3 linked regions of the Oryctolagus cuniculus genome follow. The protein of the gene in region 2 interacts with the protein of the main gene of each other region in a pairwise test. Links are inferred from orthologs where the notes say so. Each region holds a gene or a part of one and is shown on either strand. Other genes may lie near its edges.

Region 1 (3,747 bases), on a different chromosome or scaffold from region 2:
GTCACTCTTGCGAAACCCCAGCACACAGGCCAACGAGAGCCTTCCAAGGCTATTATTAGCCTTCAGCGGCCTGCACCAGCTCCGGCCAGGGGCCCCGTCTCCATCGGCCTGGAACACGGGCGGCCGGCAAAGCCCAGCGCCCCACGGGAGTCCGGGAAAGCAAGCGCTCCTCTCGCTTTCTGATAAGGAACGAAGAGCCGGGTCTGACCAGCCGGAGCTTACTTAGGGGGCTGGGGCGTAGGGACAAGCGCTCCTGACCTGGTCCAGTCGGCCTTACCTTCGCGAACAAGCCAGGCCAGAAGGGCTCCACGTTGACGCCAGCTGCTTTAATGAGGGCGTTGATCTTGTCCTCCTGAAACCGACAGAGCGCCGGCTAGCGGGGCACCACCGGGGGCACAGCCACGCTCCCCGCTCCCCCCCGGACGCCCACTTCCAACCCGCGCCCGCCACCAGCGACGCGACGCGCCCCGAGCCCGGGCTCTGCCAGGGCTTCCCGGGTCACGCGGCCAGGCCGGGGGCGCCGAGCAGGGCTCCCGTGCCGCCCCCATGCCTCCCAGCGCGGGGGCCCGCCCGCCCGCGGCCCAGCACGGGGCCGGCCCGCCCGCCCGCCGCGCCGGAAGGGACGCCGGGACCGCGTGGACCGGCCGCCCCGCACTCACCGTGACGGTCACCTCGTCGTCGTGCAGGATGAGGGCGGAGTAGATGCAGGCGAGCTCGGAGACGGAGGCCATGGTGCGGGGCTGGTGGGGCTGGCGCTGCCGGGCGCGGTGCTAGTCGCCGGATGAAGTGAGGGCCTCACCCCAACGCGGCCTTAGCTTCCTCGGAAGAACCGAGCACCTTGGCGGCAGCTGAGGAAAGGGGGCTGTGCGCCTGCGCACAACTTCTTATACGGCCGCTCGAGCCAATCGGCGCCCGTGCAGGGCGGAAGGGGCGGGACGGAGGGGGGGTGACGTACGCGCCTGCGCTGTGCGCGGAGCTCGTTGTGGGAGTTTGTCCGCCGCTGCGAGATGCCGGCTCTCCGGACCTGGCCGAAGCGTGGGTCTGGCGAACCGGGACGGCGTTTAGGAAGAGGGAACATGCTCACTGGATCCAGGCGCGGCTGACTGCGCCCCGCACCGGTGTGAGAGCGTTTGAGCCGGGTCCCGGCCCTTCGGTGAATTAATACCCAGGGTATATATCGTGAAAATCTTACACCAGCGAACTAAGGAGCGACGTCTCCGAAAACTTTCAGTCAGAGAAACCACGCTGAAACCCAACAGCTGTTTCCCCAGAGCCTTGGAAAGTGGGAAACATAAAGGCTAACTTCCATATCCTAGTAAAGGGTGCCCATCAAAACCTTACTGGGGGCCGGCGCCGCGGCTCACTAGGCTAATCCTCCGCCTGCGGCGCCGGCACCCCGGGTTCTAGTCCTCCGCCTGCGGCGCCGGCACCCCCGGGTTCTAGTCCCGGTCGGGGCGCCGGATTCTGTCCCGGTTGCCCCTCTTCCAGGCCAGCTCTCTGCTGTGGCCCGGGAGTGCAGTGGAGGATGGCCCAGGTGCTTGGGCCCTGCACCCGCATGGGAGACCAGGAGAAGCACCTGGCTCCTGACTTCAGCTGGAACTGTGCTAAACCAAAGCCAGGAGCCGGGTGCTTCTTCCAGGTCTCCTCCACGAGTGCAGGGGCCCAGCATTTGGACCGTCTTCTACTGCCTTCTCAGGCCACAGCAGAGAGCTGGATGGAAAGTGGAGCAGCGCACATATGGGATGCCGGCACTGCAGGTGGCAGCTTTACCCACTATGCCACAGTGCCGGCCCCGTGACCATCATTTTTAAAATCTGAAAACTATGAAGAGGCCACCTTTGTGGTGGCATCCGCACCCCTGAGCCCTGGTTGAGTCCAGGCTCCTCCACTCCCCATCCAGCTCCTTGCGAAAGAAGCGAGATGGCCCAAGTATTTGCGCCCCTGGACCCACGCGGAGACCCTGCAGCTCCTGGCTCCTGGTTTTGGCTGCCTTTGCCCTTGCGGTTGTGGCCATTGGTGGAGTGAACCAGTGGATGGAAGATGTCACTCTGTAACTCTGCGTTTCAGATCAATGAATTTAAAAACCTTATGGACCATCAAAGGCAACCTTAGAAGAATGATGGGACGATCCTACAGTCGATAATTCTAATGATGTAACTTCAATCAAAATTCCATTAAGGTTTTCAATAGAATCTGACAAGCTGACCTTAAATTTTAAATGTAAGGATCAAAGGCCAGTAATAACCAGGACGATTTTTTAAAGCAGACAGACTTAATTAAAATCCAAGAACACAAACTTCACCACTGCAATCCCTGTGCCCAAAACATGGCACATAGAAGATGCGCAAGTATATATTAGATCAATGTTTCAAAGTGTTACTGGGATGCCTAGAGATGCATGGATCAGAATAGAATAGAAACCCAAAAAACGCACCTTCATGGGAACTTGGCAGTGTCAGAACTATAGTTTTACAAATCCAAAGTGGATTGGTTGGCAACAGGTGACAGAACAAGTACCTGAGAATCCTCTCTGCCTCTGAAATAAGTGAAAAATCCTGGAGTTTCTACTGAAATAGGAAGCATTCTAAAAATACATGTAATTTTCCTATTACACTTTGAGTGACACGTGGATTGTCTTTCTCCTTAGCCTTTGAAACTGCTTTTGGTCAGGACTAATATCATCCTTTCAATATTGATTTTAAAAATGCACAAACTATCATGTTAAAAAGTTCAGCCTTAAAAGAAATGCAAACTTAACAAGCAAACAGGCTCACTCAGGCAAGAATAGCTATTTCACCAGGATTTTCCACAGTGCTTTCTGTTTTGTGCCAAACTGTGTTTTCTGTTTAAATGTCTGGGAGAGCGCACTTATTCTGTAGGAATTATGGTTGTCAGACAAAAAAGGCATTTCCCATTTAACAGATTACTTCCCGTGGGCATTTTCCAGGGCTTTCTTCTCATTCAGTTCACAAGGAAGAGTGCCAGGTGAAAGCGAGACGCGTGCTTGCTGCGGCTAGTGTGTGTGTGAAATGAATGACCATCACACCTCTGTGGTTCTGAGTGCTTTTTATTTCAATTCTTTTGGCATATCTAAATGTCAGAAAGTGAGTATATATATACAAAATGCAAAACACCTTCTGAAAATGGTTTTATTATGGGCCAGTCCCGATATCTTTATTTTGAAAGTTTCAATTGTCAAATATGTCTAAAGTGCATTCTTGCAGCTAATCAATAGCAGCATTTGTTTCGTTTATAAAACCCAAGAAATACTCAGACCAGAGCTGGAGAAGTCACAATAAAAAACGAAGCGTGATCTAGATATTACCTTAATTATACCAAGACAAACAGCTGTGTGAATTAGTTTATAAGTCCATAAGAAATATACAAGAAACAGCATTATAAAAAGTCCATACAGCAATGAGCCCGGGGTCTTGCTCTGCTGGGAATATTAAATACGGTGAGGCACATAATATACAAGGTCTGCTGACTGCTGCGTGTCTTTGGAACCATCAGGGAAGCGCTGCTCTAGGCCAGTGTCTGACAGGGCTGAGGTCTGGGACGTCCAGCGAGGCCGCAGGAGGCTGCTCTCCGTGGCTTCGGAGCAGTCACCAGCAACAGTGACGACGCTCTGCCGCTACTGGGGCTGTCTTGTTCATGGCTTCTTGCGCCTAAAACCAAACCCAACATTTAGTGTGGAATTTGCAATTGGTGACCCCTTTGTAGTAAAAGAAATCTTTTGTAGGGCTT
Region 2 (3,647 bases):
AGTACACGATCTTCCATCTGCTGGTTCATTCCCCAAATGGCCGCAATGGCCCTGGCTGAAGCCAGGAGCCTGGAACTTGGGCCATATTCCACTGCTTTCCCAGGTGCATTAGCAGGGAGCTGGATCTGAAGTAGAGTAGCCAGGACTCAAACCGGCACCCATATGCTTAATCTGCTACAACACAATGCCAGACTCTCAACTTACTATTTTAATGTAGCTCTATATAACTCTTTTATTATTATTTTTAAAAATTTATTTTATTTATTTGAAATACAAAGTTACAGGAAGAGGTAGTGACAGAAAGATCTTCCATCTGCTGGTTCACTCCCCAAATGGCTGGAACGGCTGGAGCCAAGCCAATCCAAAGTCAGGAGTTTCTTCTGGGTCTCCCACACAGGTGCAGGGGCCCAAGGACTTGGGCCACCCATACTCTGCTGCTTTCCCAGGCGCATCAGCAGAGAGCTGGATCAGAAGTGGAGCAGCCAGGACTTGAACTGGTGCCCACATGGGATGCCAGCACTGCAGGCCGGGGCTTTAACCTGCTGTACCACAAGACCACCCAAGACTCTTTTTTTAAAAAAATATTTATTTATTTATTTGAAAGGCAGAATGAGAGAGGGCGGAGAGACAGAGAGATTTCCCCTCCACTGCTTTACTCAAGTGGCTGCAACAGTGAGGGCTGGACAAGACTGAAGCCAAGAGCCAGGAACTCCATGTCTCCCACGTGGGTGAGAGGGTTCCAAGCACTTGGGCCATCCTCCACTGCTTTCCCAGGATACATTAGCATCAGGGAGCGGGATTAGAAGCAGAGCAGCTGGGACTCGAACTGCCACTCAAATATGGAATGCTGGCATCCTAAGCAGCAGCGTAACCTGTTGTACCACAATGCCTGCCCTGTGTTGTATGTTTAAGACCCCCCCCCCTTTTTTTTTTCTAGTAAGGGTAATTCCAGGAAGGCCATTTGGAAGGAAGCTCAAAGGCTTACTCTCCCACTGGATAGTAACAGAGCAACTGGTGCCTTAAAAATTAGTGCTATGAATGTGAGGTTCTTGCCAGACAGACTGACCTGAGGACAGGACCACACTGTATTCATTTCTGCCTCCTTTCCAGCCCTCAGCACTGGTTATCAAGGAGTTTATTTTCAGTATATCCATACTGAAAGCATTTATTTAAGCATACCGCATTATTATTAGGTATAAAGCCATTAGGAGAAGAAGAGCTATGAACCATCCATGTTAACAGCAGGAGGGGTATATGGCAGCAAAGTGCATACTAATAATAAAGGAAGGGTTTTGGTGAACAAATTTTATCTGCCTGCCAATCTTTCTTTCTTTTTTCTTTTTTTTTTTTTTTTTTGACAGGCAGAGTAGAGAGAGAGAGAGAGAGAGAGAGAGAGAGAGAGAGAGAAAGGTCTTCCTTTTCCGTTGGTTCACCCTCCAATGGCCGCTGCGGCCGGCGCACCGCGCTGATCTGAAAGCAGGAGCCAGGTGCTTTTCCTGGTCTCCCATGGGGTGCAGGGCCCAAGCACTTGGGCCATCCTCCACTGCACTCCCGGGCCACAGCAGAGAGCTGGCCTGGAAGAGGGGCAACCGGGACAGAATCCGCTGCCCCAACCGGGACTAGAACCCGGTGTGCCGGCGCCGCAAGGCGGAGGATTAGCCTAGTGAGCCGCGGCGCTGGCCTCTGCCTGCCAATTTCTAACAGCAATTATGCTGCTCTAGAACATACTTTGCTTCAGAGGCAAAAAATCAAAACATGAGTGAACCATACAGCACCTCAGCTGCTTGTTCAGGACAGACACACAGCAGTGGTCTGAGAGAAAATGGATCCTCAGGAGAAAGCTGGGTGTCCCTGCAGGGCAGGTACCAGGAATAAAACTGGAAACGACCCCTCCCACCTTACATCTACTGATCGCCTTTGAGGGCAGGGCTGCCATCCAAGAGTTTTCTGTATCAGTATGATTGAGTGCCGTGAGGAGTAAGGCCAGGGTCCTGCTTCACCTCCTGGCAGTGAGCGGGCCCTCCGTCCATGTCTGCCCAGGAGGTACCAAAGCAGAACCCTCTAGAGATGATCCACTGTGATAACAGAAACAATCACTCGACTTTTATGGGCCATGTTTCTATTTGTTGACAATGTACCCAACACAGCTTCCTTTCACACATTTCAAAATACTAGCTTCTCAAGTTCAAAATACATACACGCTTGCTTTACCACACACAGCCTTGTGTTATTTCTTCTGTTACCAGGCTCTTGGGGAAGGACCTAAAGTGAGGCAAGGGCTGGTGCTGGGACTCAGTGGGCCTCTCTGGTGACGACTTACCAATGTTCACGGAGTCCTCCCAGTCCTCCAGCACTTCTGTGACAATGAGCACATACACATACGTCCTGTGCTTCCTCTCCTGGTTCTGAAAGGACAGCGGAGATTACTTTCATGTAACACGGTCACCACACTGTCTAGAGCACAGGCACAGGACTCCTCTTCCTTTATCTTGCCCTACAATCACGGCCCATTTCTTCAGTTTCATTTCACCTGAAAGGCAGAGACAGAGCAGCAGCCAGAGAGAGCTCTTCCACTCGCTGAGTCACTCCCCCAACGCCTGCAACAGCAGGGGCTGGGGGCCAGGCTGAAGCCAGGAGTGCAGAATTCAGTCTAGGTCTTCTACTGTGTGGCAGGGACCAAAGGACTTTAGCCATTACCTGCTGCCTCCTAGGGCCACACGAGCAGGAAGCTGAACAGGAAGCTGAGCCGCTGAGCCGAGAATCAGGCACCGTGACATGGGATGCAGGCATCCTGAGCAGTGAGTGATTTAACAGCTGCACCAGATGCCTGCCTCTCGGCCAATTTGAATGAATTCAGGGTGTGTTCTCTGGCCCACTTCTGGAGCTGAAGTTTTATACTCATTCTCCCTTCTCCTTCCTCCAGCTGCAGGTTCACATGAACACTGTGACTTCTCAATGAGCAGCACGTCCGTTTAACCAGTGAGACAGTGGGTAGGGACGGCGTGGTGCCGCCATCGAGGCCGACAAGCCAAGTGTCTTGAACACTGCCCTCTTTCCAAACCACTCTGCTCATCTTTATCCCACAGTCTCCCACGCCTTCCACTTCATTTCAAATCCCCCTTCCTCTGCGACAGCTCCGTGTCTGCTAATTTTCCTCTTTTCTCGACACTTACCTATCTTTCCTCCCACCTTGGGAACAGAGATAGAAAAGTGGGAATGGGCTATATAGTAAAGCAAATTATTCCAGTTGTCTAGAGGAGAAGCCCGCAGGATTTGAAGAGAGAATGCTAGTTATCCTCTGATGGTGCTTCTGCATTTACACAGGTGACAGAGATGGCCTCTTCCCTCAATTAGGATATATGTGGTTATTATATTAACATACATTTATACCAAAAGGTGTAGAAGACTTACCTCAAAAATTCCAACTAGTCTTCCCAATGTCCCTTTTACTCCAGCCTGAAAAATGAAAGGGAAAAATTAACACACTGTTTCCCGCGGGCCTTAATGGCAGCCTTCTGGAGCAGTCTGTAAAACAGAAAGAAAAGACCAGAGGACACAGGTGGGGTGCACTCCAGGTGTGGAGGTTACACCAGCCTACCTGTGTGTCCCAGCCGTAGACTGACCACAGCTGGGTACACTCTGAGGAG
Region 3 (3,647 bases), on a different chromosome or scaffold from region 2:
ACCTCTATTTTGATTGGTATTTGGATGCATTTCTCTGGGATGTGGGGTGTGAGGTATGCCTTCCTCCTTGGGGCCAAATGGGGGTGTTCCTCCCTACTGCCTTACCCCTAATTTTCTCAGTGATATCATCTTTTGACACTGCAGGATTGTTGCTGAGAGGTCTTAGAGGTTTTTGAGCTGGTATTGAATGACAAGGTAGCAAAATATTGAAAGGTTATTTTAGCAGCCATCTGTATAGAGACAGACTAAAGTCATGGTTGGGGAAATATCTTGGAAACAGAAGGATGAGGTTGGGCCATTGTAATGATCTATGTACATTGTACTTAGTATCTAAAGTAGGATGATGTTGTGGTATGGATTCCTTTACAAGGTTTGGGGGAAGAGTCAATAGGATTTAGTTGTATCAGAGAAAGGCACAAGTGGTTAAAAATAACTTGAGTTTGAGCTGGGAGTGATGCCGCTGGCTGAGAGGAATTGGCCAAAAGCAGAGATGGTGGGAGAGGAAAGAGGACTGTAGTAGTTGAGATATCCAGAGAATAGCCAGTTTTAGATGTGGGGCTCAGTTTCAGGGTTAGAGGTAGAAATTGGGTAGCTACCAATAGTGAAGAAGAGATGAGAGGATAGGCCTGGGGCAGAATGTGCCAGGAAGAGAGGCAAGAGGACACCAAACTTTGATCCATGCTGCATTCAAGACACAAGAAGCCAAGCCAGGGAGAAGGTGGCAGCCTCAGTATGGCTAGAGGGCAACCCTTATGTTGGTGGGAAAGTCCAAGAGAGTTCATCCAGGAGGCAGGATTGGGATGCCAGCAGCATGTTGTCATCATGGGCTGGACACTCCCCAGATGCAGTGCAGGGGCAGCCAGGACTCTTCTGTGTCCATTCCTGGAGAGGGTCCCAAATCTGTTCTCACAACACAGCCCTTTTGTCCCTCTGCCATGTAGGCTGTGAAACATCCCACTTCTCAAGAGAAAGGACAAGACAGCTGTTCCTTGGTTCCCTAGGGCCACATGGGGTCATAAACTGCTCCTTCAGTTGGGATATATACATTGTTTCCCCTCATGTTCCCTGCAGCCAAATTCAGGCTGATTTAGAGCAGCTGCTGTTTCTGTCATGCTTACTATGTCCAGTCTATATATCCATGAGTGTTTTCCATCCTTTTCCATTTATTTTAAGGGAGTTCCGAATGTGTGAGACTTCTTATTGACGTTGGGGCCAACCTGGAAGCACACGATTGCCATTTTGGGACCCCTCTACATGTAGCCTGTGCACGAGAGCATCTGGACTGTGTCAAAGTGCTGCTCAATGCAGGTGCGTGGGTGTTTACCTGAGCTGGTATTTACCTATGTGGGTGAGAGCCAGCTGTCAGGATCAGACAGACCAGGATTTGAATGTAGGTCTCCACTTGCCAGCTGAGAGCTTGGGTCTCAATTTGTATGTCTATAAAACTGGAAAAATAAACTCATTTTGCAAGATTGTTGGAAGGATTTGTGATGATGTTTTCCCTGGCCCTTCTGTGTAGTTTGTGCTCAACAAATGTTAATGATTATTTCTGGGGGAATCAAACAACTGTCTGCTTGATAAGGCTGCTTTCTGAATCTGAGAGATGAGGAAATAATGGGAAAAGGAGTCTGCTGTGTTTAAGAGAATGGAGCTTTTGGAATTGAGGGTGTCCAAAAAAGGCTCAGGATAGAGAGATTGCCAAGATGGGGAAAAAAAACCAAAACATTCAGCCAACTGAAGGTTAGCGACAGGATCTGCCTACATCAGATTTAAGATGTTGCCAAAGAGAATATTGGCCAAGGGTTTTAATAGGAATCAAATTTAAAATGTTTGAGGGAAAATTGTAGCTCAGCCATTTCATCAGTGCTGACTGTTAACCTAGGATAAAAAACAAAATGTTCAGAAACAGAAAGATATGAGTTTCCCTCAGATGACAGCCATTTGAGTTTAAGTAATGTGGAGTTTTCTTTTGGAGGCTCTTACTTAAATGAGCCATTTTGGAGTCTTGCAGTGGAAAGATTAATTTTGTGTAAGGCTTGTTAAGGTTTCTAAACATTTTTATACCGTGATGAGATATCTTGATTAGAAACAGACATCAGTCTTCAGCCAAGCTCTCCTCTGGTGGCTGGATCCATTTGTGCCAATGTGGGGCAGTATTATTACTGTTGTGCTCCATTCACTCGGTACATGCAAATTCAATTTTTTCTTCAGTTTCTTTTTGTGTGACTGCAGGGAAAGAATCAACTTATTGTTTTAACACAACGTCCTTTCTGTATTGTTTAGGACCTTGTATCATTTGTGACTCCTTTGTAAGGAATATTACATCTATTGCACCTGAGTAAATAGTGTATTTACTGTTTAAGGATATTAATTGGTATTAAGGATATTTATTGGTTCATTTAACTTAAAAGATGAGAAGTAGAGACGGTTTAGGGTCAGCCTGACCTGCTTTTTCAACAGTGTCACCAAGTTCTCCCTTTCTTTGATTTTTGCAACTCTACTTTTCTCCATGATAGCTTTACCCAGGCCTGGCTTAGGAGGAATGGTCAGACTTCACTTTTTGAGGCTCTGATAATTTTTTTAAGATGTATTTATTTTGAAAGATGAAGTGATAGAGAAAGATCTTCCATCCACTGTTTCATTACTCAAATGGCCACAACTGCCAGAGCTGATCAAGGCTAAAGCTAGGAGCTTGGAACTCCATCCAGGTCTCCTGTGTGGGTGGCAGGGCCCAAGCACTTGGACCATCTTCCACTGCTTTCCCAGGCACAGTATCATGGAGCTGGATCAGAGGCAATGCAGCTGGGACTCAAATAGGCATTTCCATATGGGATGCCAAGTCACAGGCAACTGCTTAACCTGCTGTGTCACAATGCCAGCCCTCTTTGACAGACTGGAAAAATCTGTCCCAGATGTCTTGGGCACACCTCCCCTCATGTCCTGTTGGCCCGAGTTGGACCCTAATGTCCAAACCTAAACAGAGGCTTTGGCTTGAACTTTTGCCACATTCTGATTGGCTTACATGGGCCATGCCCCTAAGCAAAACAAGTGCATACAGGTGCTTTCACAGGTGAATCAGAGAGGGCCTGGGGACTTCGTCAGAAGCTGAGTTGTGTTGGGGACTTCGTCAGAAGCTAAGCTGTGTTGTGCTCCACAGGATGGACACAGAGGTGGTTGTTCTTTTTGTTTCCTTTGTAGGCACTGAGGCCAAATCAAGGAACTAGGTTATATTTGCAAAGGAGGAGGGCTAGGGAAGGTGAAAGTCCAGTTATTAAGGTGAAGTAATTTTTAATCTAATCACTAGTAGTAAATATTTAACTCTGCTGAAAATATTCAGAAGTAGTGCTGTCATTATGCTGCCTTTCTCTCAGCACAGTGCTTATCACAATTGTTTTACAGTTTATTGTTGCAAAAAGCATGTAGTGGGCTATCTGTGCTTATTCTGCTGGCTCCTGGCATACTAAAGAGTATCAGGGAATCCCTTCACCTTGCCAGCCATGATTTTGCTTTGAATCCACTTTTATCTCACGTTGCTTTGAAATCAAGATTTTGGTAATGAGCCAATTTTGACTTGTTTCTCTGAAGCGTGAAGCTGAGAGTTTTTAATGTCCAGATGGTTCTGTTTGTTTTGCTGGCTTCCCTCTCTG

What was found.
Region 1: the proteins of NUDT3 (region 2) and RPLP1 interact in a two-hybrid assay, tested with the Homo sapiens proteins (2 studies listed by BioGRID and IntAct). The link is inferred for Oryctolagus cuniculus from reciprocal best matches to the Homo sapiens genes NUDT3 and RPLP1.
Region 3: the proteins of NUDT3 (region 2) and ASB13 interact in a two-hybrid assay, tested with the Homo sapiens proteins (2 studies listed by BioGRID and IntAct). The link is inferred for Oryctolagus cuniculus from reciprocal best matches to the Homo sapiens genes NUDT3 and ASB13.

Annotation. Positions count from the first base shown.
Region 1 is NC_091443.1:92,102,026-92,105,772, reverse strand, and holds the start of RPLP1 (large ribosomal subunit protein P1), read right to left. Parts: upstream 2,607-3,747; 5' UTR 732-2,606; coding exon 660-731; intron 353-659; coding exon 278-352; intron 1-277. Other genes in the region: kinesin-like protein KIF23, read right to left, coding at 3,653-3,668. UniProt on the Homo sapiens protein: Plays an important role in the elongation step of protein synthesis.
Region 2 is NC_091436.1:135,069,430-135,073,076, reverse strand, and holds part of NUDT3 (diphosphoinositol polyphosphate phosphohydrolase 1), read right to left. Parts: exon of another isoform or gene 3,457-3,647; coding exon 3,412-3,456; exon of another isoform or gene 2,406-3,411; coding exon 2,321-2,405; exon of another isoform or gene 1-2,320. UniProt on the Homo sapiens protein: Cleaves a beta-phosphate from the diphosphate groups in PP-InsP5 (diphosphoinositol pentakisphosphate) and [PP]2-InsP4 (bisdiphosphoinositol tetrakisphosphate), suggesting that it may play a role in signal transduction.
Region 3 is NC_091444.1:79,539,092-79,542,738, reverse strand, and holds part of ASB13 (ankyrin repeat and SOCS box protein 13), read left to right. Parts: intron 1-1,173; coding exon 1,174-1,308; intron 1,309-3,647. UniProt on the Homo sapiens protein: May be a substrate-recognition component of a SCF-like ECS (Elongin-Cullin-SOCS-box protein) E3 ubiquitin-protein ligase complex which mediates the ubiquitination and subsequent proteasomal degradation of target proteins.